Oryzias latipes: one gene and its partner. The protein of the gene in region 1 purifies or fractionates together with the protein of each later gene. This does not show direct contact. Links are inferred from orthologs where the notes say so. Each region holds a gene or a part of one and is shown in the gene's direction. Other genes may lie near its edges. The genes, in order: bach2 and mafk.

Region 1 (11,910 bases):
GGTTGTGATTATTTTAAAATGTCAGAATTTAGATGCTGATCAACAAGATGCTTTTGACAACATGTCATGGTTCTTACTGTTATCAGCTGAAAGCATAGGGGATTTTCCACAAATGACAAATAAACCAACATAAAGAAAATTGTTTCCAGATGGTAGAAAAATTGGACAAAGAAATCTTTAAAGGTTTCACATTTAGAAATGTTCTTTTGTGTTTCAAAAAGTTGGTTATCTTGTTGAATTGGATGCATTAAATCATATGTATTTTCTGTTTCAAAATGTCAGTTTTACTCATTTCTGATGTTTTTTACTGCTAAGTTTATCAGCTAAAACAGAATGAAGAACGATGCTTTTTTTCCCAGAGGTCATCTTGATATTATCTGACAGCAGTTCTGATTGTTTGCCCGTTTAAACTGCAGTTTTGTAACGCTGAAGGTGTTTGGAAAATATCTCCACCTTTTAAATTATCGTAAGCTTAAATTGTTTAGACTTTTGTTACACTTTTCTCAGACAAACTCTCAAAGTGCAAACCTTCATAGGAAATCAGATCTAGTATTATATATATTATAGAATAAAAACAAAGATCTGATTGCTATCAGAGATTTATGTATAAGTGGTAAACTGAATGTATTTATGTTGGCACAATGTGCTGCAGGCATAATCAACATACATCAAGTTTAATCCAGATTGTAATATTTTAAACACAAACAACTTATAACTTTTATTCCCAGTATGCTGAAGTTATTAATAATATTTAATGCTATCATGCTGTTGCTGTGAGGATTCTGCAGTTTAGTTCAGTTGTTCTGTGATGGTTTTGATCGTGTTCTGTCCTCTATCAGTCACTTCATGTCAATCATCTACAGTTGTCTTCATTACTGTTCATTGTCTTCAGTGTATAGAAGTGTCTGGTTTTCAGTTCTGCATTGGTAGTTCATCTGTTTTTGTTTCTCTGCAGTCTTTGTGTTGTCTAAGTTTATATATTAAATCTACACGTTTCTGCTACAAAGTCCATTTTCCTGCATTTTTGCTCCTACATCTTCAGTTCCTGACAGCTGTTTCCAATGTGACTCTGGTTCTACATTAAATTCATTTTTGCCACTTATCCTCTTAACACAGGATTTTGTCGTGATTGTAAAGATTTTCATACAAAAAGATGGTGAAACTGAGTTTATGGAAGGAAAATCTAATAATAAATATTACAATAAACAGATAAATGTCGTGTTAGATCTGTAGTGAGGAAGCTCGACAAAAAACTGTTCATTTATTTTGAAAATTCCTGCGGTGTTTTATTTTGTACTTAGTACCCAACTTCCTGTCCCTGCATGATCTGCTCTGTGTTGAATTAATGTGCCGTGTTCAGACGTCTGGCAAAAGGAAAATGACTTATATGGAGCATTTTTCTGAAATATGAACCATCTGGCGTCTGCCGCAAAGACAGAAGCGGCATGTTATTTACAAAAAAAAAAGAATGGTCTTTTTAATACGAGGCCAAAAGGGCAGGTGCTCAAGTACCCATAGGGCCCTGTGTGTGTATGTGCCTGGTGAACAGCAATACAGTGTACGAACACTGTACTCAGACCGCACAGGGCTTTCCTTGTATACTCACTTTGGTTCTCTTCCATGCTTTGATGGAGTTTAGAGTTTAAAGATGCAAGTTGTTGGTACTTCAGTGTTTTGAAAAGAGTGCTACCCATACCTCACTACTAAACCCGAGTCTTTGATCGGTCAAAGTTCAACTGGCTATGATTTTTTGATCAATTGCAGCACGTTATGTACTTAAACCCTGGAAATGGATTTGAGTAGTGTGAACACGAGAGTTTTGAACGCGAAAACCCGAAGCATGTGTATACAAGGGGTCATATAGACAAATACACATTTCCAAGCCTAGTGTGAATGTAGCATAAGACGATGCCCCCTGGGATTTGATCCGCACCCAAGTTCAGCTGAACTTTCACACCTGCCTAGAAACGCAGAACACCTGAGGAAACAAACTCACTTCATTTGACCTGGTGAACTGGATTTGTGACCAGAGCCTTGAAAAATGGTCTCATCCGTCTAAGACCTGAAGACTCCAGGCTTGAGCTGGTCTTCCCAGGTTTGACTTGGTTTTGTAGTCAGGATCAGAGTTGAAGACACAGATTTTTTGCATGGTCAAGTTCATCCAGTGAATTGCGCACGAATGTATGTAACTCATCATAAAAAGTGTCGGTGAAGCTGAAGGAGCTGCATCCATCAGCAATTTGAACCAGCTTTCAGCCACAACCTGCTGCTGTTGTGGTGTGTCAGGACGTGTGTGTTAAAAGTGCGTTTGTGTCATCTTCTGTGCTCAAGCAAGTTTCAGTGCGTTGTGCATTCCAGTGGAGAAATAGCATGTTTAATGTGCTCTGAGCCACGCATCTGGAAACATTATTCTTGGAAGGCAGGTCATTATCCTGGGAAACCAACTGAGAAAAGCTCGGTGGGAAGAAGTCTGCAGCAGCTGGACCAGCTAGAACCATAGTCTGGACTGGTGCTCCACGGCAGCTCCCACGCAGGAGCAGTGGATGCAGGGTCACATGAAGCCCCCACCCTCCCAGCAGTCCACTCACTGAGGATTATCAGTAAAAAAAAAAAAAAGATGTGGGACACCGAAATAGCCTGGAGAACTGTTTATGTCACATATTTCACATAAGAGTGCAGAAGCTTATTTGAGAACCATGCGAAGGGTTTTTACCTCGTGTTCCTCAGCAGGTCATTTCCTGGCCAAATGGTGAAAACTTGACCGTGAGGCAACAACCGGAATAAAATGAAACAAACATAATGTGAGTGTTGCCAAAGCTACAATGAACTCTAATTGTGCAGCCTCATGCCGCTTTAACATTCTGATCCGCTGGGAATTCTGGGAATGAAAGGCAGTAATGTTCCTACATTCTACTCACAGTTAATGTAGAACTTTTGCTTTTTCCTTTTATTTGAACCAAATCAAAACCAAATTCATATTTTCAGTGTCAGTTTTTGCAGCCACTCTACTGTGTGCTAGCATTATTACCATTATAGTATAGGTACTTTAATTAGAAGCATTTCCATAGAATGAGGACATTTCTCAGTGTAATCATATTTGACCTTTAGGATCGTCTGATAACTTGCTCCAAGAAAAATAAAGGAAAACTGTGACAGGGACTTTCCTGGGAAAATGTAATTTGCAGCAGCAGGTCAGAATGAGGCGAGGAGTCCCGTCGTGTTCAGTGTTCTTCAGCTCAGGAAAAAACAACTCATATGATTGGGATCAGTATCAAAACCAGGTCCAGGAGTGAGGAATTGGCCTGTACCTGAGTAGTCAGACGACATCCTGCAGGTGCAAACCTCCAGAGAGTGACGTACTCGTGCTGCGCCGCAGATCCACAACAGCCTCTGATGTTGGACGCTTGAGAATTTACAGGAAAAACCTGTAGCTAATTACATCTGGTTGTCAGTGTAACAAAAGGTTTCTCTGCGGGGGGTGGGCACTCTTGGGGGGGGGGCAGTTTAGCTCAGTCGGTAGAGCAGGTTGTCCAACAACCAGCCAGCCCCCACCCAGGGGATGGGCCAACATGCGGAGAAGAATTTCCCCATTGTGGGATAAGTAAAGTTTCAATTGTTATTATTAATTATTATTATTATTATTATTATTATTAGGTTCCAGTAGGCTTTGATGCGCCGCAGCAGCAGAATTCACAAATTCCTTCAGACAGATCAAGTTTGTGGAACCTAAAGTTTAACTCGAAACCTAAATTACGACATCGATAAAACCTCAAAGTTCAGATTGTCTCTGCAGCACTCTCAACCTGTAGGCTAATGTAGCTAACAACGGGTTTTTTAAGACGTGTTTGCCCACAGTGCCCTCTTCTGGTCATATGTAACAGATCCTCGTTTTACCTGAGTAAGGGTCGTTTGGCTGAATCCCTCTGGATTTGGGTTTGTTGCCCCCGAAAGCTGCCTGTCTTTGCTTGATGGGATTTTTGTGGTTGTGTGAATTTTATACTGTAATGTTGTGACAGCAAAGAAAAATCTCTGTGGTCACTAGTCAATGTTATTTTGCAGGAAGAGTCTAATATATTTACTTAAGTCATCTACAGTTTATGAACCACTTTATGTCTTGTATTTTTTTCCATCATACTGTGTAAAAATACGACTGTGTGAGGTCGAATACGCAGTTGGTTTGCAAAAAAACTGCTTTACTGAACACGTGGGGAACATGTTTGTAATTTTGTCTCCAAAAACTCAGCCCTTCTCTGGCTTTTAGAGTGAGTAAGCCTGTGGAGCAGCAGGCTTGTATGTGTTGAATCATGGCGCTGATGTCAGCCCCGCGGTATGCGCTCGCTTGGCTCGGTTGAAAGCTGACCCCCCTCCTCTCCTCTGTTATGTTTCTATTTCTAGGGTGTGAGCGGTATGTCCGTGGATGAGAAGCCTGAAGCCCCCATGTACGTGTATGAGTCGACGGTTCATTGTACCAATATCCTCCTTTGCCTCAACGACCAGCGGAAGCAGGATATCCTGTGCGATGTGACCGTAGTGGTGGAGGGCAAGGAGTTCCGAGGGCACCGGGCCGTGCTGGCTGCCTGCAGCGAGTACTTCCTCCAGGCGCTGGTGGGCCAGGCGGAAAATGGTTTGGTCGTTAGCCTTCCTGAAGAGGTAGGCCTGTCAGACACACCCCCACAAGCTTGATATAACTCTAAAACTCCCCCCAAGCCATCGCAGGAGAAGCTGAGACCTTCCATCTTTCCCACAATTTAGAAAAAAAATTGGAAAGTGACAGCCTCCCTAGCAGTCAACTACACAAATATTTCATATCAGTCTGATGAACTAATAGTACAAAAATACCTTTTCCCAATGTTGTTGTATACCAGGGGAAAGACTTTCCACGGCTTAACCATGAGCATGATGCCGTTCACGGACAAATATATGCATGTAGCTTAGCAACGCTAAGTTTTCATGTTGGATCAACAGAATTCTGAGAGTGGGATTTGTTTGATTCACTCTTCTTACCCCCCAGACTCACAGGACAGCTAGTTCCCTTTAGCAAAAAGTAGTCTATTTAAGTGAAACCGTAGTCGATCTTAAAGCTGACACAGTATACTTCAAGTTTACTTTAGTAAATTATCTATATATTGTCAACTTAAAAATGTTACAATTTAGTCTGAAGAAGTATTCAGTTAGTATACTTCCTACACTACCTACACAAAGTCTGTAGCATACTTGATGATACTCAAGTATACTTAATAAAATCAACTTCAAGTGTAGTACTTTTTGCTAAAAATAGTACTGACATTTTATTTTCCCCGCCCTTCTTCCTTCAGCCACAAAAATTGCCTTCTTTGTTTTCGGGTTATATTTTGAGTCACCTGAAAGGTCAGAGGTCACGCCGCCAGCTGTTGTGAATTTTTTCTTAACCCCGCAGTAAATGTTCTTCTGGAATTAGCTGGAGGAAGCAGCAGCATGTGCAATAATATTATACAGATAAGCTCAAAAAAATACTTTCGGCTAATTTTCTTTAAATCTAAGTTGGTCTTTGTTTGTTTGTTTATTTCAAGCCTTAATATCTGATGGTCTCAAAAAAATGAGAGGAAAGCTTGGAAAAGAAACAACAGTTTTATTTTCTTACATTTAAATTAAATCATTTTCATGGGAAATGTGTTTCTTCCTGTAAATATATATACATAGATCAAATTATGACATTATGTAGGTGTGTCGTAAAAAATTATGACTAAAATCTAAAGAAATGTTTCTGTAAACTGTAGCTTTGGTTGAAAAGGGCCAAACACTGGAAAACCTCCCATGTCTTCATTCACTTACTGTTGGCTGGCCGTTTCCTCTGTGTCCAGTTCAGCAAAAACACTCTTTTCCTCTCCTCCCTTTGGACTCTTTGGATGAAAAAGAGGCGCTGACCGCACTCCAAAAATCCTCTTGAATCTGAGCTCGAGCTGCTTCATTTTGCTCTGACAGTTTTGCAGCTGCTCCTCCTGAGATAAGAGACTGCTCTGAAAGTCCAGTCCCATAAATCAGGAACTTCCCTTTCAGAACTCACAGTCCTTAAAGTGGTCTTTAGTTTTCTGCAGTTTGCAAGGAATTTACAAGGTTTTCTTTGAATTGGGCTGCTTTGTCGGTCCTTTTTGTTGTCAGAATACTCTTATGACAAATATAAATCATTTAGACACAAAAAGACTCATAATTTTATACATCTGTCTTCTGTGTTTAAGCCACATGCAGAAACGACGGGTTTTCTTTGAGAATTTTCTCTTTTCTTTTTGTTTGGTTTGACTGGGAACAAGTTGAACCTCTGATTGAATCTTACTGGTTTTTGTTTGCTCCACTGTTTGACCTTTTCTCAGCTTCTGTTTGACTTCATTGTTCATTTGTGCAGCTCCTTATGCCCCAACTAGATTCAGGACCGAATCATGCTTTTTTTCATGTCAGTGTTTGATTAAGATAGTTGTCAGACTTTGTTCTGCCTGATCCTGTCACTTTGTTTTATTTCTACTAGTTTTTGGTTTCTGTTTGACTCCTTGGGTTTAATCTTTCAGTTGGTTTTGAAAACTATTTTTTTTACTTCTTACTGTTGCTGCAGGGAGGCTGGTTCATATTTTTATTCAGGTTTTTGTTCTACATCTCAAAGTAGTGAGTACTGTGGTCCTGAGGTGCAAATCACGTCAACAAATCACTACACACAAAAACAGATTAAAGACAAGAACGACAATTAAAAAGCCAAAACTATTACAACAAAATTACAGAAACTAAAACACAAATACAAAAACTTAAAATAAGCAGCCAGTAAAGGAAGATATTGTGGGATGTCATTGATTGGAAGAGGGAAAGCAGAAGGATGTTTTTCTCAAACTCCGGCAAGGAGTTGATTGATAAATCACAGAACTTTTGCTTAAAGAAATATCAGAAAGTATTTCCATACCACAAAACGGTGAAACAATGTCATCATCCTGTCACTGACGTCCATTGGCGTCCCATAATTCACACCTTTTTTGCTTTTTTATGTTACATTTTTTAACCTTTTATTTTAATTTCCAGACATTACTTTTGTTTTTGGAAGTGTTTTTTTTATACATTCAGGTTTCATTATTATTTGTTTTGCTTTTTTTAATTGTCTTTGTAATCTTTGATTGATGTTTGTGTTGTGTAATTTGTTGATTTGATTTGGACTTCAGGGCCACCATACATCAGTCAGGACTGAAAGAAAGTGATAAAATCCAAACTACAACTCAGAACTGAATCCTGAATCCAGCACTCCCTGTTCATTCAGTGTATCCAAGTGTAAGAGCAACCACAACTTCAGGCTTTTTCTATTTTTAGTTCAGTCATTTAATGTGATTTCCTTTCCATCAAAATAGCAGATGTAGAAGGAAGGTTTGGATTTGTCCAGAGCTGATTCAGGATTCAAAAGAAGGTGCGACAAAGTTAAAGCTTGAGCCTTTAATGCTGTTGTTACCAATTAGCACCTGTCAGGTGCCGCTACATTCAGCAGCGTATCACTTAGTGATGAGATTAACACGGCTTCTGGATCTTCTCAGCTGCGCTCACATCCGCTCTCACTCTGCCACTGATCATCTGGAGAAGTTCTTCAGTGGAAACACTTTTTTTGTCATTTTTGTTTTTTGTGTGATTGTGCTTTCTACGTCTGCTTTCTTGAAGCCTAAACTGCTGCAGCTTCAAAAGGAGCCACAGCAAATGCATGTCACACGGCTGTAATTACGGCTCCTGACATATTGATGTCACAAACACATATGCTGCAGATATGTGCTGCGGTAGAAAGTGGGGCACATCCCACATGTGCTGTGGAGATCCTCATCGGGGCCGGCCTGCATTCACGTTGGAACTCAACAGCTTTGTTGTCTCATTAAAAAGCATGGCGGCGTCATCATCCAATATCAGTTGTAGCTCCTGTTAAGGTCGGGGGTGGGTGGGGGGGGGGTGCTTGGTTGGTGTTTCTGCAGCATTCAGATGCTGCAAGCGTGAATAATTCATGAGCTGCCGTGTGTCTCAGGTGTGGGACGGAGTGTGAAAAGTAACATCTTTGAATGGCTGTCTCCTTCATGTGTCAAACAGCCACTTCTGCTGAGGTTTGAAATCAACTGATATCCAAGTATCAAATACATTTACATTTCTTACTCACAGAAGACTCTATACATTAGTTGTCAAACCATTTTCATGGATTGCACAGCATACGTTGGTAACACTTTCACTTCCTCCTTGAGGCTGGTTTGAAACCAAAGGAAGAGCCCATGCACTTCACTGTTTAACCACTAGATGGCTTGCAAAAAATGAAGCCTTCACCCATTCATTATGATGGAAAAAGCCCCACCTAACAAGAGAAAAAAAAACATACACTGTCCTCATTGCCTAGAATAATTGTACCATAGAGAAATTTGTTGGACTCTTAAATGTATTTTCTATTTAACCCAGAGTTGTCCTTAATGGGGGCATAGGTGCTTGACTGGAGCCCGTTAGTGCTGATCAAGTCATAAGTGTGCGCCTCATGCTTGTAGTCTGCCTGTTAGAAAAGTTAGACAGAGTGTAGTTTGTGTGGACAACCCAGGTGTGTCCTACAGGCGTATCACCTGCACACTGTGTGTGTGCAGCTTTTGTGCACGGTTACCGGTAGTTAGAAGCCAGAGTCCCTGCCTTACTAACGACTAGAATGTGGTGTAGGGACGCTGTAAGACAGCATCCCCTGTACGTCCTAAGTGTGTGAAACTTACATTATCCTTTTGAATACCCCATGATACACTTACCATACAGGACAATTGAATTTTGATGACGTCCCTTAAGCCACAAGGGAACTGCAAGACACACCTGCGCTCCCTTTAAGACACAGTCACACCTGTCTACGATCCTTCATGGACCTGAACAGCCGAAAAACCTGCAGCCCCTGTACAGGTCAACCCCCGTGTGTTCATCCTTAGTTATCTTGTAAGGTCATTACATCTTTCAGTGTCATGTTTGACTACAAACAAAGAATAAGTGCGGTCGATCGGGCTTTGTTTTTATTCCAAATCTTGGCACACTTCAACTGTCCTGATGTGTGACATTCAAAATAAAGCAACACATGTGGCCACAAATATTCACATTCAACAGTTTCTGAAGAAAAAATTATAAAAGTGTTTTTGGAAAAAAGGAGGATATCTTTCATAGACTGAAAAAACGGTTTCAGAAAAAGTGCTTGGGTAGCTCTGGCTTCTGTTCTGTGCAAACAAAAGAAAAAATGTCAGCACCAGTGGGATCTGCAGGCTTAGTGCAGATTCTTTTCTGTTGCTTAGCAAAATAATCCAAAATAATAGAATCCAAAATACAACTCAGACTAGTGTGTTGTCTCTTCTAGTTTTTGTCTTTTTGTTCATCTTTAGTTTTTTCTTCTCATTTGCTATCCAGGCTCCAGCCTCCCGGCTGTTTAGCTGCTCAGCGACTGCATCCACTCAAAGACTCATAATGTTTCTCTACTCACGGCTCCATCTAGTTTCTTAACATCCCCCGTCACCCATCTTTTTACGGTCACTGACTCGAGTCTGCTGACGCATCCCTGCCTCTGGTCTGAGCTCTGTCGCTGTGCTGGGGAGGGGGGGGGGGGGGGGGGGGGGGGGTTCTGTGTCAGCTCAGAGCTGCAACCTTTATCTTCAATTCATGTTCTTAAGCTGCACTTGGCCGACTGTCAGTTGTCTGGAAGCTTTTAAGTATTCCTGCTGCAGCTTTGGAGCACTGCTACTCCTCAAGGTTGCCACTGGGGGGGGGGGGGGGGGGGAGACAAAAGACCACCTCCCCAGCATCAGCCCCTTCATAGCCTCTGTTGGAGTTGCTTGGGCCTCTGGGTGACATCATCTTTAGCTAATGTGACTAGAGAGGCAGTTATGCTGCATCGTATGGACAAAATCTTCTCTTTCAGCGACATGCCCGATTGACTGTATATGAGAACTGGACTGAGTTATTGCAACCCCCTGGCGTTTCAGACAGGAAGTACCTGCTGGCTCATTCTATTGGTTAGAATAATCATTGCTCTGATACATTTTTAACATGTTCTTAATAATCGCGTAATTTACAACATAGGAAAATGAAAAAAAAATTCCAAGGAATTTTTCACGAAATCTAGGAAACGTGCCGCTAGCGTAACTCTACAATGAGATTGAACGTTCAAAACATTGGATTGACACATTCACCCGACTACGCTTTTAAGTGGTAGGTGTGTGGCCTTCTAACAAGCTTACTTTTGATTGGCATCAGTGGTTGCCATAAAACTGTTGTCTCAGAGCAATCAGTGCTTGCTGACGATTTCTTAACAAACAGACATCACACGGTGATGTGTATATGTCTTTATTGTAAAAAAAAAAGGTCACTGAATGAAATGAAACATGATTCCAACCAAATGAAAAAATTAATATTCTCTGAGTGATGTCACACTCACTCAGTCCAGTTCTCATATACAGTCAGTGGTAGGTACCCTGTTGAATAATGAAGACATGAGATCTTTGTGGTCCAGTCATTTCAAGAGACTTTTCAACTGAAGATTTGACATATGTCAGTTATATGAGTGGACTCATGCTATGTATTGCACATAATTATGAAATTGACTGAGACCAGACCCCTACAGCTGTCCTTCATTTATCATGGGGGGGTTATGTTCTAAAAATAACACCTGATAGATGAAATTCGTGAAGTAGGATTAAAGATGTTTATGACTGTAGAACCCCTCAGTACACACTTTCTTATTATTTTTTAATTATAGTTTCTTAGGCTGACACAAACATTTTCAAACTTTTCTCTCTTGTTTACAAATTTACTCGTATAAAAGGTGGGTTTTTGGTGTTCTTAAAAAGTTATTGTAGCATTTTTCTCATAATGAAGGACAGTAACTTACAAATTGTTATGCAAATTAAATGTAAGTGTCAAAAAGATCAAATTGTTTGCTTTTTAATTTAATTTTGGTGTCTCGGGGGTCTTTGGATCTTTGACATCAATCTCAGACACCTGTGATAATTAGTTTGTCAGGTGAGTTCAATTAAAGAAAAAGCTAAAGAAGGATATTCCACATTATTAAACAGACCAACATTTTCAAGTAATAGGGATAAGAAAAAGGATTTCTGCTGCTGAAAAGCCTGAAACAGTTAAACGCCTTAGACAAGGCATAAAAACCTTCGGATATTTTCCAAAAACGTAGGTGTGGTCATTGTACTATTGAGAGATGTGGCTGATTCAGAGCACACACTGGTTGGTGGAGAGAGAAAGACAGCATAAGGAAGGTTTCTGCCAGACAAACACATTAGATTAAGAGAGCAGCTGATAAAATAAAATTAAAAAGCAGCAAGCACATATTTGAAGCTGTTGGTGTTTTTGGAGTCAAGGTGAAGGATCCTCCAGAAGCTTGCAGTTATACCTAAACCTATTATTCAGCCACCCCTACACAACGCTCACAAGCAGAACCGGCTGCAGTGGGCCCAGACAAAAATGAAGATTCATTTTCAAACAGTCTTGAGTGCCGTGCAACCCTGGATGGTCCAGATGGATGGATTAGTGGGTGGTTGGTGGATGGCCACCATGTCCCAACAAGGCTGCAACGTCAACAAGGAGTCGCTGAGTCATGTTTTGAGCCGAAATCAGACACAAATTGACAATAGATCAAAGCTTGATTGGAATGTGACTTCAGAGGGTTAAACCAAATCGTCGCCCAAACCTTCACAACAAGCAGAGCTTGCTTGACTCAAAGATGGGGGTGGGTTGATACAAGATGATGCTTTACTGAGAGGAGCTATGAGCTGCTGTAGGAGTAGTGATGGCACCCCTGTCCAACCAGCAGGACGTCTCAGCAAGCATGAAACCTCTTCTATATCTGACAAAGCTGATATTTGCCTCCAACCTGAAGACAAAGGTTCAGGTTCAGGGCAGCGGGAGCATCTT
Region 2 (13,409 bases), on another chromosome or scaffold:
TTTTGCAGATGATGTTATTCAGTTTACTTCATCCAACCTCCAGTGTGGACTGGGGCGGCTTGGAGTAAAGTGTGAGGCTGCCAGTATGAGTATTAGCATCTCCAAGGTGGATGTTGTGGTTCTCAGTTGCAAAAAGGTGGTTTGTCTTCCGTGGATAAGCAGGTAAAGGTGTCCGTGTGGAGGAGTTTGAGTATCTTGGTTACAAATGAGAGAAGGATGGAGTGTGAGATTGACAGGCAGAGAGGTGCAGCATTTGTTCAATGTGGTCGCTGTATCGATCTGTTGTACTGGATTAGGAACCGAGTCTAAATTCCTACTTTCACTCGTGGTCATAAGCTTTCGGTCATGACAAAAGGAAAAGATACGAGCGGACAAAATGAGTTGCCTCCGCAGGGGGGCTGGGCTCTCCCTTAGATGGATTAAGAGGAGGTTGGAGGAGACCTGCTGCTCCTCCACATCAAGAGGAGCCAGCTGATGAGGGCTCGGGCATCTCTTTCAGGTTGTCTCTCATGGTAGGTTTCACGGGCGTGTCCCATCCAGGACATGCGGGAGGACTTTGTTTCTCGGCTAGCTTGAGGATCCCTTGGGGTTCCCTCAACAAAAATTGAGGAAATTTGTAAAGTCTGGACATCTCTGCTTAGGCTGCAACCCAACTCTGAATAGGCAAAAAGGTGAATCTATTGTCATGTTTTGTAAACATGTTACAAAAATACAAAAAAATTTAAAAAAATATTTTCAGTTGAGACAACTTTGTCAGGGATTTACAATAACTCTGATGTTTTCTCGATTGTAAGTTTTTCATAGAAACTGTTTATTTTTTTTAAATCATATATCGTCTCCCGTTTTGCTCTGAAGCTTGCACTGACGATTCACTTGTAAAAGTCATCCGATATTTACCTTAAACAAGTGAAACGGCAATTGTAAACTTTGTGCTTTGGACTGTTGAACTTGCCTTCTGAGTAACACGCACTGAAATCCCAGGTCGCTCTCGATTTGTTGAGGCAGGCAGAGGATGCGAGACGCTAGTGAATTCTAGACATTTTGTAAATTTTGCAAGCAGTGTTTTACAAGTAGGGGGGTGTAGCCCCCCCCCCCCCCCCCTCCATTGCTGTGTAGGACATATTTCGAAAAGCACGCTCCCCCTCTCTTTTTGCATGCGTGTGTGAGGGCTTGCACATGTGCGCTCACTCAGGAATGTGCTTTTGTTCTTTACCCGCCATCTGTGGCTTTTCTTTGAGGTATTTTCCCAGACTCCTTTTCTTACTGTCAAAAAAAAAAAGAAGAAAAAAAACTCTGATCTGAGCTGTTTTCTTGACTCTGTAGCAGAACAGCAGTCATGGAGCTGCTTTTCTTTTGAGAAACTTTCATTTCTCGATCATAAAAGTCTTGTGCTTGCACAGGTTAGGATCAAACATGGGCACATGCCTGAAGAATTACAGGGAAACAACCAGACCTCTTGAATCTGGCTTGAGGCCCTCTGCATGAAGAAGGGAGGCCCCATCCCATATTTTCTTGATCATCTCAGAAAATATAAGAGGAGACTCTTGGTGTCAGTTTTTTGTTTTCTACTTTTTGATATAATTCTTTTTCCCTTTAAATGACACTGAGGAGTTTCCATGTTACAGCGAAACAAGGTTTACCTTCTCCTAATTTAGCTTTGCTTCTATTTATAGCCAAAAACCTGAAAGTATGACAAACATCACACAGCAGAGAGCCATACCAGGACAGCTTTCTTCCATCAAAGCTGCTGGAAGCAGCCCTACAGAGAATGTCTGCCCTCATACTGAGCTATCACTTATCGCGTACTCGCCTGAATTGTTTAGTTGGCAGAATTTTGAGTCAACACTGTGAGCTAAATATATCCAGCAGTTAGTAGAGTTAAATAAGGGCATGCAGCAGCTCAGGAAAGCCCACTGTAAGAAGATCTGAGCATAGAGGGGCAGCCCTGAACCGACGGACTACATTGTCTCACTGCAGAAAATACTTCACTGACGATAAAGGAAAGTATTTGTGTGACACTCCATCTCCTGGAATTTTCCACAGGTGGAAGGGCGGCCCTGTTCAGTTCTCCTGGTGTTTTGCGGGAGTCAGAAGCATCAGATCAAGACAGTCAAATTTCAGTTTCTATGTAACGACTTAAAGCCGTCAGCTCATTTTATTATTTTTTCATTTTTTCCATTATGCATGTGGCCATGTTGCGGTCATAAATGAGACTTGTTTACTCTTTGAGTGACCATGTGACTCATGCTCCCACGCCCATTTTGCAGGGCGTTGCCATGGTAGCTGTGGAGCATGGAAGAGTGCAGTTGCAGTCAGGCTGGTCTGCAGGTCCTCAAATTGAGCCCTGGAGGGATGTTCGCCTCTCCCAAAGGATCACAGCTCAGCACTCTCACTTTTTTTTTGGTCAACTTGGGAGGCATGTCCCTCACTGTAATGAAGGCTGAGAGGAATTAAAAAAAAATGCCCAGGAAGGAATTTAAACACAGTTACACAAGGAGCTAGATAGAAGTTGCCTGTTTGTAATTTTGCTTGGTCTGTTGCACTTGACTGGCAAGAACTTCCTCCCTCTGGTGGGTAAACAAAAGCTCTCCTTGGAGGGGCATTGTGATGGTGCCATGCTGCCATCTGCTGGCAGTTGGGATCAGCCAACTCTGGAAGGCTCATTTATGATGTTTTAGTATTTTACTGCCATGCTTTTTAAGCATTTGACTCAAATTCTTTAGTGGTACAACATCTCCTCAGGTACCAAAATGTTTGTGCAAAGCTGCCATTTTTGGAAATGCAGTTGCTAGGTTTAATTGATGCAACACTATATTAGATTTTAGATAGATTTTAATCAACTTTGAGACAAAGATTACATCTGATTGTTTTATCACTTAATAATAGTAGTAATTTTATTTTTTATAATTTAAAATGTTTTATTATAGTTTTCAAATGTATAACAAAAATGGTTGACTAAAACAAAGTACCTGTACTCCAAATTAAAATGATTAAATAGAAACATGCATTAAAATAATATTTCTTATTCAAAGACACAATCAAATCTTTTTTGTAAGTTTTGTACAAAAAGGCTCATAAAATCAGTTTTTTCCTGTTAGTAGTACAACTATTCAAATCATCCATTTAAAATTGATTTCAGATTATTTTTGTTAATTTATTAAGTTGGTATTTAGTAGTTTTTATCAGTTTTTACAAGTGAACCACGATTCTGTGGAAAGAGACAAACCTAATTGTTCAAATCCTTCTTTTTCCAGTTGGTTAATTTGGACAAAATATGACCCAATCACCAAACACCCAACTAGAAAATATATCAACTTCTTTTTTGCAATTTAGAATAATGCAAACTGCTTGATTTAAAAAAAAAAAATGAATGAAGCCCCCACTTTTTAGTTATTTTTGGTTGAAAGATGAGAATGAGCTAAAATCTCAACATGTAACTTTGTATTACTTTACATCCTTTTATATAAAGTTTTATTCTAGCCCCAAATTCCTTCATGTAGCTGTCATCAAAACTCAAACCCCTGTAAATAGTTTCTCCAGCTTCTCATTGTGCATTTTACATGACGCACACCAGCACCTTTGTTTGGATGAAAGTGTGCACATGTGGTTAAGCAGGTGTCCTGCTCGCTGCCTTGGGAAGTGTTCAGTGTTGTTGATAATTATCCTCTGTGTGCTTTTCAGGCTTCTCTTCATCAAAGATGGGCTGAGCTTTGTTTTTTGTCAGCTACACTGATGTGAGGGAATGCATTAGTAAAAAAAAAAAAAAAAACTCCTCAAATATCCACAAAGGGAACAGGATGCGAGCTTGACAAGCTGTTCCACCGTTAATGGAAGTTCCAGCACTTATGTTGATTCTGATGCTGCAACTTTTCAGATATACAAGTATCAAACTTAAAACAGCAAGGCCTTAATTGGTGTATTTTTTAAAGTAAAGGATTTCAAAAGGGGATTCATTAAGTTTTTAGTCCCAGGCCCAAAAAAATCTCTGTATTTTGTACTTTTTGGCCTGGATCTCCAATATGTTATTTACTTTAATCAAAAGATTAGATCAAATTGTGGAACTGATGCAAGAAAACGGATCCACCAAAAAGAAATCAGACACATTTTTGGAAGATATACTTCTTTTTTGGAGAAAAAAAATGGAAGTAAACAGAAAAGTATTTTAAAATACCGTATGCAGCCAAGTAAAAAAAAAATTCTTCTTGCCAAAGGCGTATAATTACCTAGCTCGACAAAAATGGTTGGACCAGTTGATCTAAAAACAGCCAACTGTCAAAGTGAGATCAGAGCAAAATAAAAAAAAATCTATATAATGGAAACTGAACCTGTCATTTAGCAGCAGTTTTTAGAAAATGCATCAGCAAGTTCCAGAATAACCAGAAAAGAAACATGCCATTAGTATCATGTCACATATGTGGAGGCGATGTGGCCGCTTGGGTTCACTGATTGAGAAAAACGAAGATTGTGTTTTTCACAAGTTAAGCCACTAGCTCCAAAGCTTGTTTAAGTATCTCTTGTTTTAAAATCCAGATGGATGTAAATTCTTTAATCCAGCTCTTAATTTGAAAATAAAAGTAGAAAATTATCTGCAGTAATGTTACATCACCATTACATTTAAGGCTTTTATTGACTGCAACCAGATTTTTAAACCTCAACATCATACTAGGATTCCATTCAATAACTTCTTTTTACTTTTCAGTGCATCTTCTGCGAGGTTCTGGTCAGCTTTCTGCATGCAGGGAATGACGACTCATTTTAAGACGAGCAAAGCTTTAAAGGTGAGAGTGACACATGGCAGGCTGATCACACCACATGCGACTGGCTTTCATCCATTTCCCTTTTGACCTTTTGGCAGGTGAAAAAGGAGGCGGGCGAGAATGCCCCCGTGCTCAGCGACGATGAGCTGGTGGCCATGTCTGTGCGCGAGCTCAACCAGCATCTGCGTGGGCTGACGAAGGAGGACGTTGTGCGGTTGAAGCAGCGGCGGCGGACCCTCAAGAACCGTGGCTACGCCGCCAGCTGTCGCATCAAACGCGTCACCCAGAAGGAGGAACTGGAGAGGCAGAAGATAGAGCTCCAGCAGGAGGTGGAAAAGCTGGCCCGCGAGAATGCCAGCATGAGGCTGGAGCTGGACGCGCTGCGGGCCAAGTACGAGGCCCTGCAGTGTTTCGCCAGAACTGTGACCCGGGGGCCAATGTCACCGGGGAAGGTGGCCACCACCAGCGTCATCACCATCGTCAAGTCCACCAACCACAACAACGCCAGTCCAACCCCATTCTACGCTCCGTCCTAGTCACAAGATCGGGCTCCTGCTGCCTCTGCCTGGATCTTCTGGGTTCTGACTTGAACCCACTCAGCTAGTTCTGAGAAGAGGCCTGGTAGTTTCCCCAAACTTGGGGTGGTGGGTGGAGCTTTGTCTGACATTATGCTGCAAACAGTTCACCTTCTCAAATAAGATCTGTGCATTATCACGCCCCTTCAATTCCCCGGCACTGGCAGGATATGGAGCCTCGCTGACCCAATCTCCGTGACTTTTACTTCAGTGTGAAGGGTCCAACAAGCCTTACGGGGCAGCGCCTGGCCCAGAACCTAGACCCCAAAGCAGAATGTGTAATCAAGAACTCACCAAATTACATTTATGTATGAATTAAGCCTTATAAGATGCTGTCTTGAATAGATCTGCAATTTGTCTACACTTTAAGTGCATCTTAATACAGTTTAATGTCTAGTTTCGAGGCATCTGTTTGTCACAGAGGCCAGAACAGTGTGGTTCAGCTGGATTTGTTGCCTTATCGACTCGCGTTGGTGCCTCCGATGCTGCATTTGGAAAGAAAAAGTTCTTGGCAAATGGTTTTAGTCTTTAGGAAAGCCTCAGAATGACAGAGCTCTATGCTGCTGATGCTCTAATCTAATCCAAATGAACCACTGAGTGTGAAAAGCTTCAAAGGATTTCACTTCTCAATTTTGGGATTTTGCGCCTCATTTTCTTTGAACCTGCAGAATGAACAGCGTTAGCTGGAAATCAGTTCATCAACTGTTGCATTTAATGCTTTTGAACATAATTGCAAGGGGGGTCCATGTAAAACAGGAGAGTGGCTCTGCAGCTCCTCCCAAATCTTTTTGGAGTTTGTGGTTAGTAGCACTTAGAACTGTAAAGTTACAGTATAAAGTCATATGGAGGTGGTTGATTCTGATGATAAGTTGTGGTCTGACCCTTAACTGTAGGTCGAGTTGAATGTAATTCTGGATGGTCAACTGACACGTATGTTGCAGCACTTACTTGGAGAGGTGTGGCGGGTCATCCATATTGGATGTGGTGATACGAAGAGCAGTCTTTTTGAGCGTGTTCCGGTTCAACGTACTTCCTGTATATTACAGATTTAAAAATGACGACGCTTCTCCCTTGGCTTCCCTTTTTCTGTTGCTCAACTCCGTCCAAACAGAGATCATTCCGTCTGCCGGGTCACGGGAAGCGCCGCTGTCGCCGGGGTTGGGAATTCACCACCCGCTTGCTTTTGACTCACTCTTCTACAAGAGAACTCCTGACACTTATCTCTAGAAAACGAGGTGTCACAAAAAACAAAACAAAAAAACAAACAATCGCAGTAACTGACTTGTAATATTTAAGTGTGATACAAACTTGAAATCAAGCTGTTCTTCCAAACGATCCATTCCCAATTTGGAGCGAAGTAAACAGAGATTGTTCATGTCGGGATCTTCTCTTGGTTAGGAGGACATGACTGTTCTTTCATTGTTCCTCTGCTGTAAAGAACAGTTTGGGGAACTTTGCTGCTGTACAACCTGCTGTGATTTTGTTTTTTCTCGTTAGCAGGGGGGCATTGCTGTGTTTTTACTCCTATTTTTTTTCCCCTTTTAATTTTCACCTGGTTTTTGTTACTATTTCTGATAGTTTTATACAGTATGCATACACAGTATATGAAATATATATATATATATATATAAATGTATATGACATATTTTTCTATATTTAAGTCTTGTACTATCCATGGAGTGGTGTGATTATGTAATCAGCCTGTTTTGTTTCAACTTTTCAAGGAAAAAAAAAGATTCTCACAACATTGGTTCCCTGCAAGTATTGAAATGGTATTTGGTATATTTTGACAAGAGCATTTAAAATGGATTTCAGCTGCAAACGGCCTCCATTGTGCTTCTAATGTAAACCTAGTTCATTATCTTGTGAAAGTGTACCTGAAAAACTTTTTTTGACAGTGTCAAAGATGACGGTAATGCTTCAGCACTTGTTACCTGAAAAAATGTTTCAACGCAGCTCCACATGCCCTCCTAATGTGAAGGTCTGTTTTTAATCCTGAGGAAAATGACATCTATTTATGGGTTCATTTAAGTGTTTTTCTTTTCTTTCTGGGCAACTTGACAGCCTTTTCAAAGCGTAACCGTGACCTCTTGTGGTTAACATCGAAATAGCAACAATGTAGAATGAGTGTAAGCACTTAGCTGGATAAAATGCTTACCGGTAAATGTTAAACGATTCTGCTGTGCCAAATTAAAGACAAACCTTTCTCTGGGTGATTTTGGTTAAGTGCCACCAAACATGTTGTCTTTTACGCCGACTTTTTGAATCGTATAAAAACAGGAATAACACATGAACATTTTCTGTTTACTAAACTGCAGACGACTTTTTTTAATCTTTACAGATAATAAAGCTTTTATATGCGAGGAGCTTAAGTGGACTTTCTTTAATTTGATCAGAAACCACAGAAATACTAATAAACATGAAGAAATGCTCCCTGGCATATTGTGAAGTTTATAAAGTTTTTGTTCCCAAAAAAAAATAAAGTTTACACTCAATAAGCTTTGAAAGTCCAGCAAGCTATGAAACCACAGAGTTTCAATATTGCAGAAAGGATTGTGTTAGACGTGAAGAGGCAAATTCAATGCAACCTTAATAGATGTGATAGAAATCTACGATCAGTGTAACATGCAGGTGGCCTTCGAAGAGCAGAAAAGAAGAGCATGTACCCTTTTACGCCTTCACATAACTCTTCTTCTCATTTCTATTTTGTATTTATTTAATGGAATTGTTTAATTTTATGAAGAAAAAAAAAACTAAATTATTTTTTTTGCATTCATTTACTTCCATGTTTTCTCAATGAAATATCTTCATGTACAAATTGTTTTTGCTCTCATTTAAAAGTACGGTAAATTATTACTGTCGACGGTTGTGTCTTTTTTTTTTCTACGCTCAAATAAAGCTCCTTTATGTTCCTCCCAAAAATGCTCCGTTTTCTCACACTTGCAGACACAAATCTGAGTTTTATTTTGCATAGAAACCAACCAATACGCATTCTGTCAAAACACAGCTAAAATTGGCAAAAGAGGGTAGAAAAATTTAACCACAGACATGAACTTCCTCTTTAAAAGGGTTGATTGACTTATCAATACACACTTCAAATTTAGTGCCTCTGGAGCTAAAGAAATAAATACAACAAGATTGAAACACTCGATAAGCCAAAATATTATTTACAGGAGTAAAACGGCACGACTGGCACTAATCAAATTTTGCACTCCCTTGATCAGTGTTGACATGTGGTTGACAGCATCAGCAGCTGCAGTCAAAACAGTGCAAAAGCTGTCAAATTCTAATCACTAGCATCTTTCCAACAGCCATTTCAACTGCATCGGGTCAGGCTGTTCAACATGCTGGGAAAATTCATATTCAAGCTTCCGCTCTGGATGAGAAAGGTTTATCCAATTTGTCCTTGCAGCGGCAGAAACAAATGATAGTGGAGTATCTCTTGCAGTTTGAATTACCTGCTCCAAATCTAATATCTGTCTGTCAGGAATCCGTGCAGAGAAGAGCTCAGTTAATACCAGACAAAAGGAATGGCGAGAAACGTTCCAGTCGTCGCTGGCTTCCCTGCATCTATCTTGGTGTTGCATATTAATCAGAGGCTCTTTGAAGCCGACGTGATTCAGTGGGAACACGCCGGACGGCCACTGAGAGGCAGCGCCATCGAGACGGTGGCAGGACCGGAAAGAAGGATGCAGCTGTGCATCCGACAGCTTGATTTAAAGGAAACGCCAAAGCTCCAGACCGGTTTGATGAAGTGAAGGGGACATGTCATTTTCCTGATTATCACTGCAAGACGGGCACGGATCAGATCTCTGACGATCCAGTCATCGTTTCTGAATCTGTTAAAACTCCATCCTTCTCTTGGTTCTTAAATTACCTTTGAAGCAGGACAGAACCGGGCAGTCCACCTTAAATACTCGGATGATGAAAATTAAACACCTGGGTTCAATCCAGCTCTGTGAGATATGTGCCACAGCCGTTTCCTCAGATTGGGGATGGGGGGGTCAAAGATAAGAGCGGGAAGGGCACAGACACTTGGATGTTGTTGGAAAATCGCCTAGAGCTCATCATCAGATGTAATCAGCATGATTTTGTCGGACTTGCAGGAGCCCTTCAGGTCTGTGGGGACTTTCCCGTTCACGCCGTGCTGCTGGGTGACGTCCTGCGTGGATTGCTGGGTGTACTGCTGATAGGCTGGTGAGAAGTTGTGGATGGCATCCTGAACCATGTCTCCGGGGTTGATGGTCTCCTTCAGGCCGCTGGAGATGCTTTGCATCGGGGGGCCGCCCTCTGCAGGAACGAGAGGGAAAGAGGCACTTTGATGGCTGCACACAGATGCGCTGCACGGATGTTTCAGCTTTAATCCCAGAACAAAAGACATCCGGTTGAGCATCAGAATGCAAATAAAGAAAAAGGAGCATGAAGGTGATAAATGCCCGGTTTCAAAGCTCATTTCAGTGCAGAATCATCTGAGTGAAAAAAGAGCCATTTGCTTTTTTTTGCTCTGGGAGCTTGCCAGTTTCATGACATGATGACAGACAAAATAACTTTTGCAAAGTTTTGTCAAAGTATAATAGCTGAATTCATTGGTGAGTTTTTTTAATAAGCTAAAAGCAGGTCAGCTCAGGGGATTTTAACAAGTCAATCATCTTTTGACCCATTTTAAAAGCATTCCCAGTGGTCTTATAATTATAATTAGACAATTTTTAGCCAAAATAATAAAATAAAAATAAAAAGTTATTTTACTAGCACATAGTTTGTTCCCACAATAAGTTGTGGGAAGGACCGCCAGCATTTCTGATATCCCTCTGTTCATGTGCTCTCCTGATGAGTCAGAATGGAGCGGAGCAGAGAACTTGTTGCTCGCCCAGCGTAGTTTTAAGTCACAAATGAGCTCTTTTTCTAAACACATTTTTCTTGATTCGCAACAGTTTGACTGAAGAAATACTCAGCAATGCTATTTCGATCTTAAATCTTTTACTACATCATCAGATGACACAAAAGCCTGTTAAAAATGAAAAAAAAAAAACAACTCTCATCAAAGTTGGACTTAAAACTAAATACAAATTTTCCCTTTTCACTCATATAAAAAAAGGAAATTTAAATTTCCAGCATTTTCATTTGATTACTCTGTATTACATAAGCTAAAAGTTTATTTCACCTCCTATCCCATCTACATTTTCTTTGCAAGCAGCAAGGTTGCCAAAGCTGGGACACATCCTTGGTGCTTTTTTTTTTAGGACACCATGACCTTGAATCCTTTTCTTTCCTTCTCCTCCAAACGTTAAAAGCACCTGCTGCCTGGGCCTTTCATATCATGCATGTCCTTCAGCTTTGGCTATGTTTTGCACATTGTAGCTCTTATGAAGTCATTTCAACAGAAACTGTAGAAATGTGGGCATTTCTTATGTCAGCTAAAGTAGCAGAACAAAAGAACAAAAAGGCAAGTTATAACCCTTTATGGGATTTCTGAAAAATTCCTAGCAAACTAAGGAAATGAGGTTAAAGGCTTCTATTACACTTAAAGTCTTATGATGCCTCTAAGAAACCTGCACAACTGGTTTATTTGAAACATTAGTTTAGCAGGAGGCGAGCTGCTTCCCTCAAGAGGAGGAAGGGATTTTGGTTAGAAAAGAAACTTTCCTCTCACTATAGATAAAAAAAAAGCTTTTCTTACACAGCGTCTTTATAACATTTGCCAAATCATTTGAGATCTGCTTTTTTTTTTTAAATGCCCTATTCTCCTTTGTGATCTCTGCTTCTATCCAATAATTTCACACTCTTTCTTTCTGAGGTAAACCAAATGTTGGAGTTTTAAGTCTCAATCTGTCTGACCCTCCACCAGCTGGTTCTTGTCCGGTACTTTTAGCTGAGGGCCCATCCAGCCCACTCCATTCTGGTTTTCTTTTTTGAAAAATATCTCCAAACTTCCTGCTAAAATCCCTCTTTATCTGGGAAGATCTCAGTTTTATTGCAATGCCAGCTTATTCAGAGATCAAAGAAAAGCAATAAGTAACAATAAAATAATTTGATATTTTAAAACTATTTAAATATTTCGATTCTGAGATTTTTGCAGGGTTTTTTTTTCACTTCATGCTAATTACGTTAAAAAACAAAAACATTTCTAAGGTTTTAGCTTTGGATTATAATATATTAAGCATTAGCTGTTTTGCAAAAACATCTTTGTAGGTCAAGTTGAAAAACAGACTCCAGCAGGTCCATCGTCTGCCCTGAGGCCTCGGTTTAGTGGGACATGTTCAGGACATTTCTGCTGGAGGGCTTCTGGAAGGCATCCTGACCAGATGGCCAAACCACCTCAAATGGCTCCTTTCAAAAATGGCGGAGCTCTTGGGTACCCTATCCCAACAGGTGAGCACTGGAGCGCTCTAGAGGAATCTCGCCATTGTACTCACAGCCTCATTCTTTCAGGAGCTGCTTGTAACTTAACTAACCACAGGCGAGGGTTTGTGTGTAAACAGATCGGTTGACCAACAGCTTTCATCTCAGCTTCTCTTCGCTGCAACAGAGCAGTAGCTCCACCCATGTGAGGCTGTAACTATCACGCTGTCATCCACCACCTTTTGGGTTCCAAGACCCAAGAGCAGCAGAAAAGAGATTTTTCATCTCTGCTCATTTAATGCAGATTAAAAAAAAGTAGTTTATTTAAAGGTTTCATATGGAAAATTTCTAACAATTTTGTATTTAAAATATTGCATTTTATTCTATTGAGATAATAAAAAAAGTTAAAGACCTCCTCCTATTAAAATTGTGTTTTTGGTGTTTTAAACATGCTCTTGTGGGATTTTTCTGATGATGGAGGACATGTATAAAGGCAATTAAGCTTAAAATTGCATTTTTTTTAGTATTTATTTATTCAAATTGTGAGTCAGGAGCAGGCACAAAAATGTTGGAAAAAGCTTGTAGGTGTGACATAGAAGCTCCTACGGCAAGCCACAAGCTCCCAGCTCCGGCAGGTTTTTGAATTTTGGCTAAAAAAACGTCATAATCATAATTAAAAGACCACAGGGAAAGCTTTGGATTGAAAAATGATCGGAGTGAGATTTTAATTTGAATTTCTTGGCACTTCAACCTCAAAAGTCTGTGCTCACCTGGCACATCGTTCTTCTTCTCCTGGTAGACGGTGCAGGTGAAGGCATATTTGAGGGCGATGGCTGCAAAGAACATTTCTATGCAGATGATGAAGTTCTGCCAGCCCGCGGCCACAGTGCCGGCGCCCACCTCATGCCCGTCGATGAACAGCGCATTGGGAATGACGCTGCAGCGCTCCAGGATGGCAAGGACCATTCCTAATGAAAACATTTTTACTTTCTATTGTGTTTGAAAAAAAGGAAAAATGAGGGGGAACGACGACTCACCTTGCCAGAAGGATAAGAAAATGACTGATTTGATGGTGAGGAATTTAAGCACCGGTTCATACGGTCTCAGTAGGTCGCTTGTGGCGAAAAAGAAGAGGAAGAGAGCGTAGAGGGCCAGACTGACCGAGAAGTTGTAGATGATAGTGATGTACAGGTACCCTCCATTTACACTGTGAAAGAAAAATGCTTAAAAAATCATTTCAACATTTTTGCATTCGTGAGAGGCTCTCCAAGGATTCAACTGTGACGACATTAATTACTCCGGTGCAGACAGAGTGCACGGATGGCTGAAAGCCTCTAAGTAAACAATCGGTGGAGCTTCAAATAATGCAGTTCTTCCCTGATTTATCATTTAGCTGTTGAAGTACATGCAGAAGCAAGTGCAAGAATCGAGCCAAGATTATCTTTCAGCTTTTAATAAAAGGCTGATGATAAAAAGCGGCTTGAAAACTTTTATTTTAAGAAATCTGCTTGATCTAAGTAGCTTTGAAGCTTGTGTTGTCACAGCTGACTCTTCAGACAGAGACGGTGAGGAGACGTACCCCAAAAATAAGTCAAGCGGAGTCACAAGCCTTAGCTTTCCAGAACTTTGATTACACGCTAATTATCATTTTAGTGAGCGCATTACTCTTTTCGTTATGCAGCCGGGTCCCTTTGTGGTTCAGCAGGAGTTGCCAACCACACTTGCATCAAAATTGTCA

What was found.
Region 2: the proteins of bach2 (region 1) and mafk purify together in Homo sapiens (co-immunoprecipitation; 3 studies listed by BioGRID and IntAct, with this or other methods). This does not show direct contact. The link is inferred for Oryzias latipes from reciprocal best matches to the Homo sapiens genes BACH2 and MAFK.

The regions. Positions count from the first base shown.
Region 1 is NC_019882.2:20,480,386-20,492,295, reverse strand, and holds part of bach2 (transcription regulator protein BACH2), read left to right. Parts: intron 1-4,395; coding exon 4,396-4,650; intron 4,651-11,910. UniProt on the Homo sapiens protein: Transcriptional regulator that acts as a repressor or activator. Binds to Maf recognition elements (MARE). Plays an important role in coordinating transcription activation and repression by MAFK.
Region 2 is NC_019866.2:7,329,020-7,342,428, reverse strand, and holds the end of mafk (transcription factor MafK), read left to right. Parts: intron 1-4,699; coding exon 4,700-4,778; intron 4,779-4,855; coding exon 4,856-5,293; 3' UTR 5,294-7,815; downstream 7,816-13,409. Other genes in the region: tmem184a (transmembrane protein 184A), read right to left, coding at 9,390-9,622, 12,442-12,639, 12,709-12,878. UniProt on the Homo sapiens protein: Since they lack a putative transactivation domain, the small Mafs behave as transcriptional repressors when they dimerize among themselves.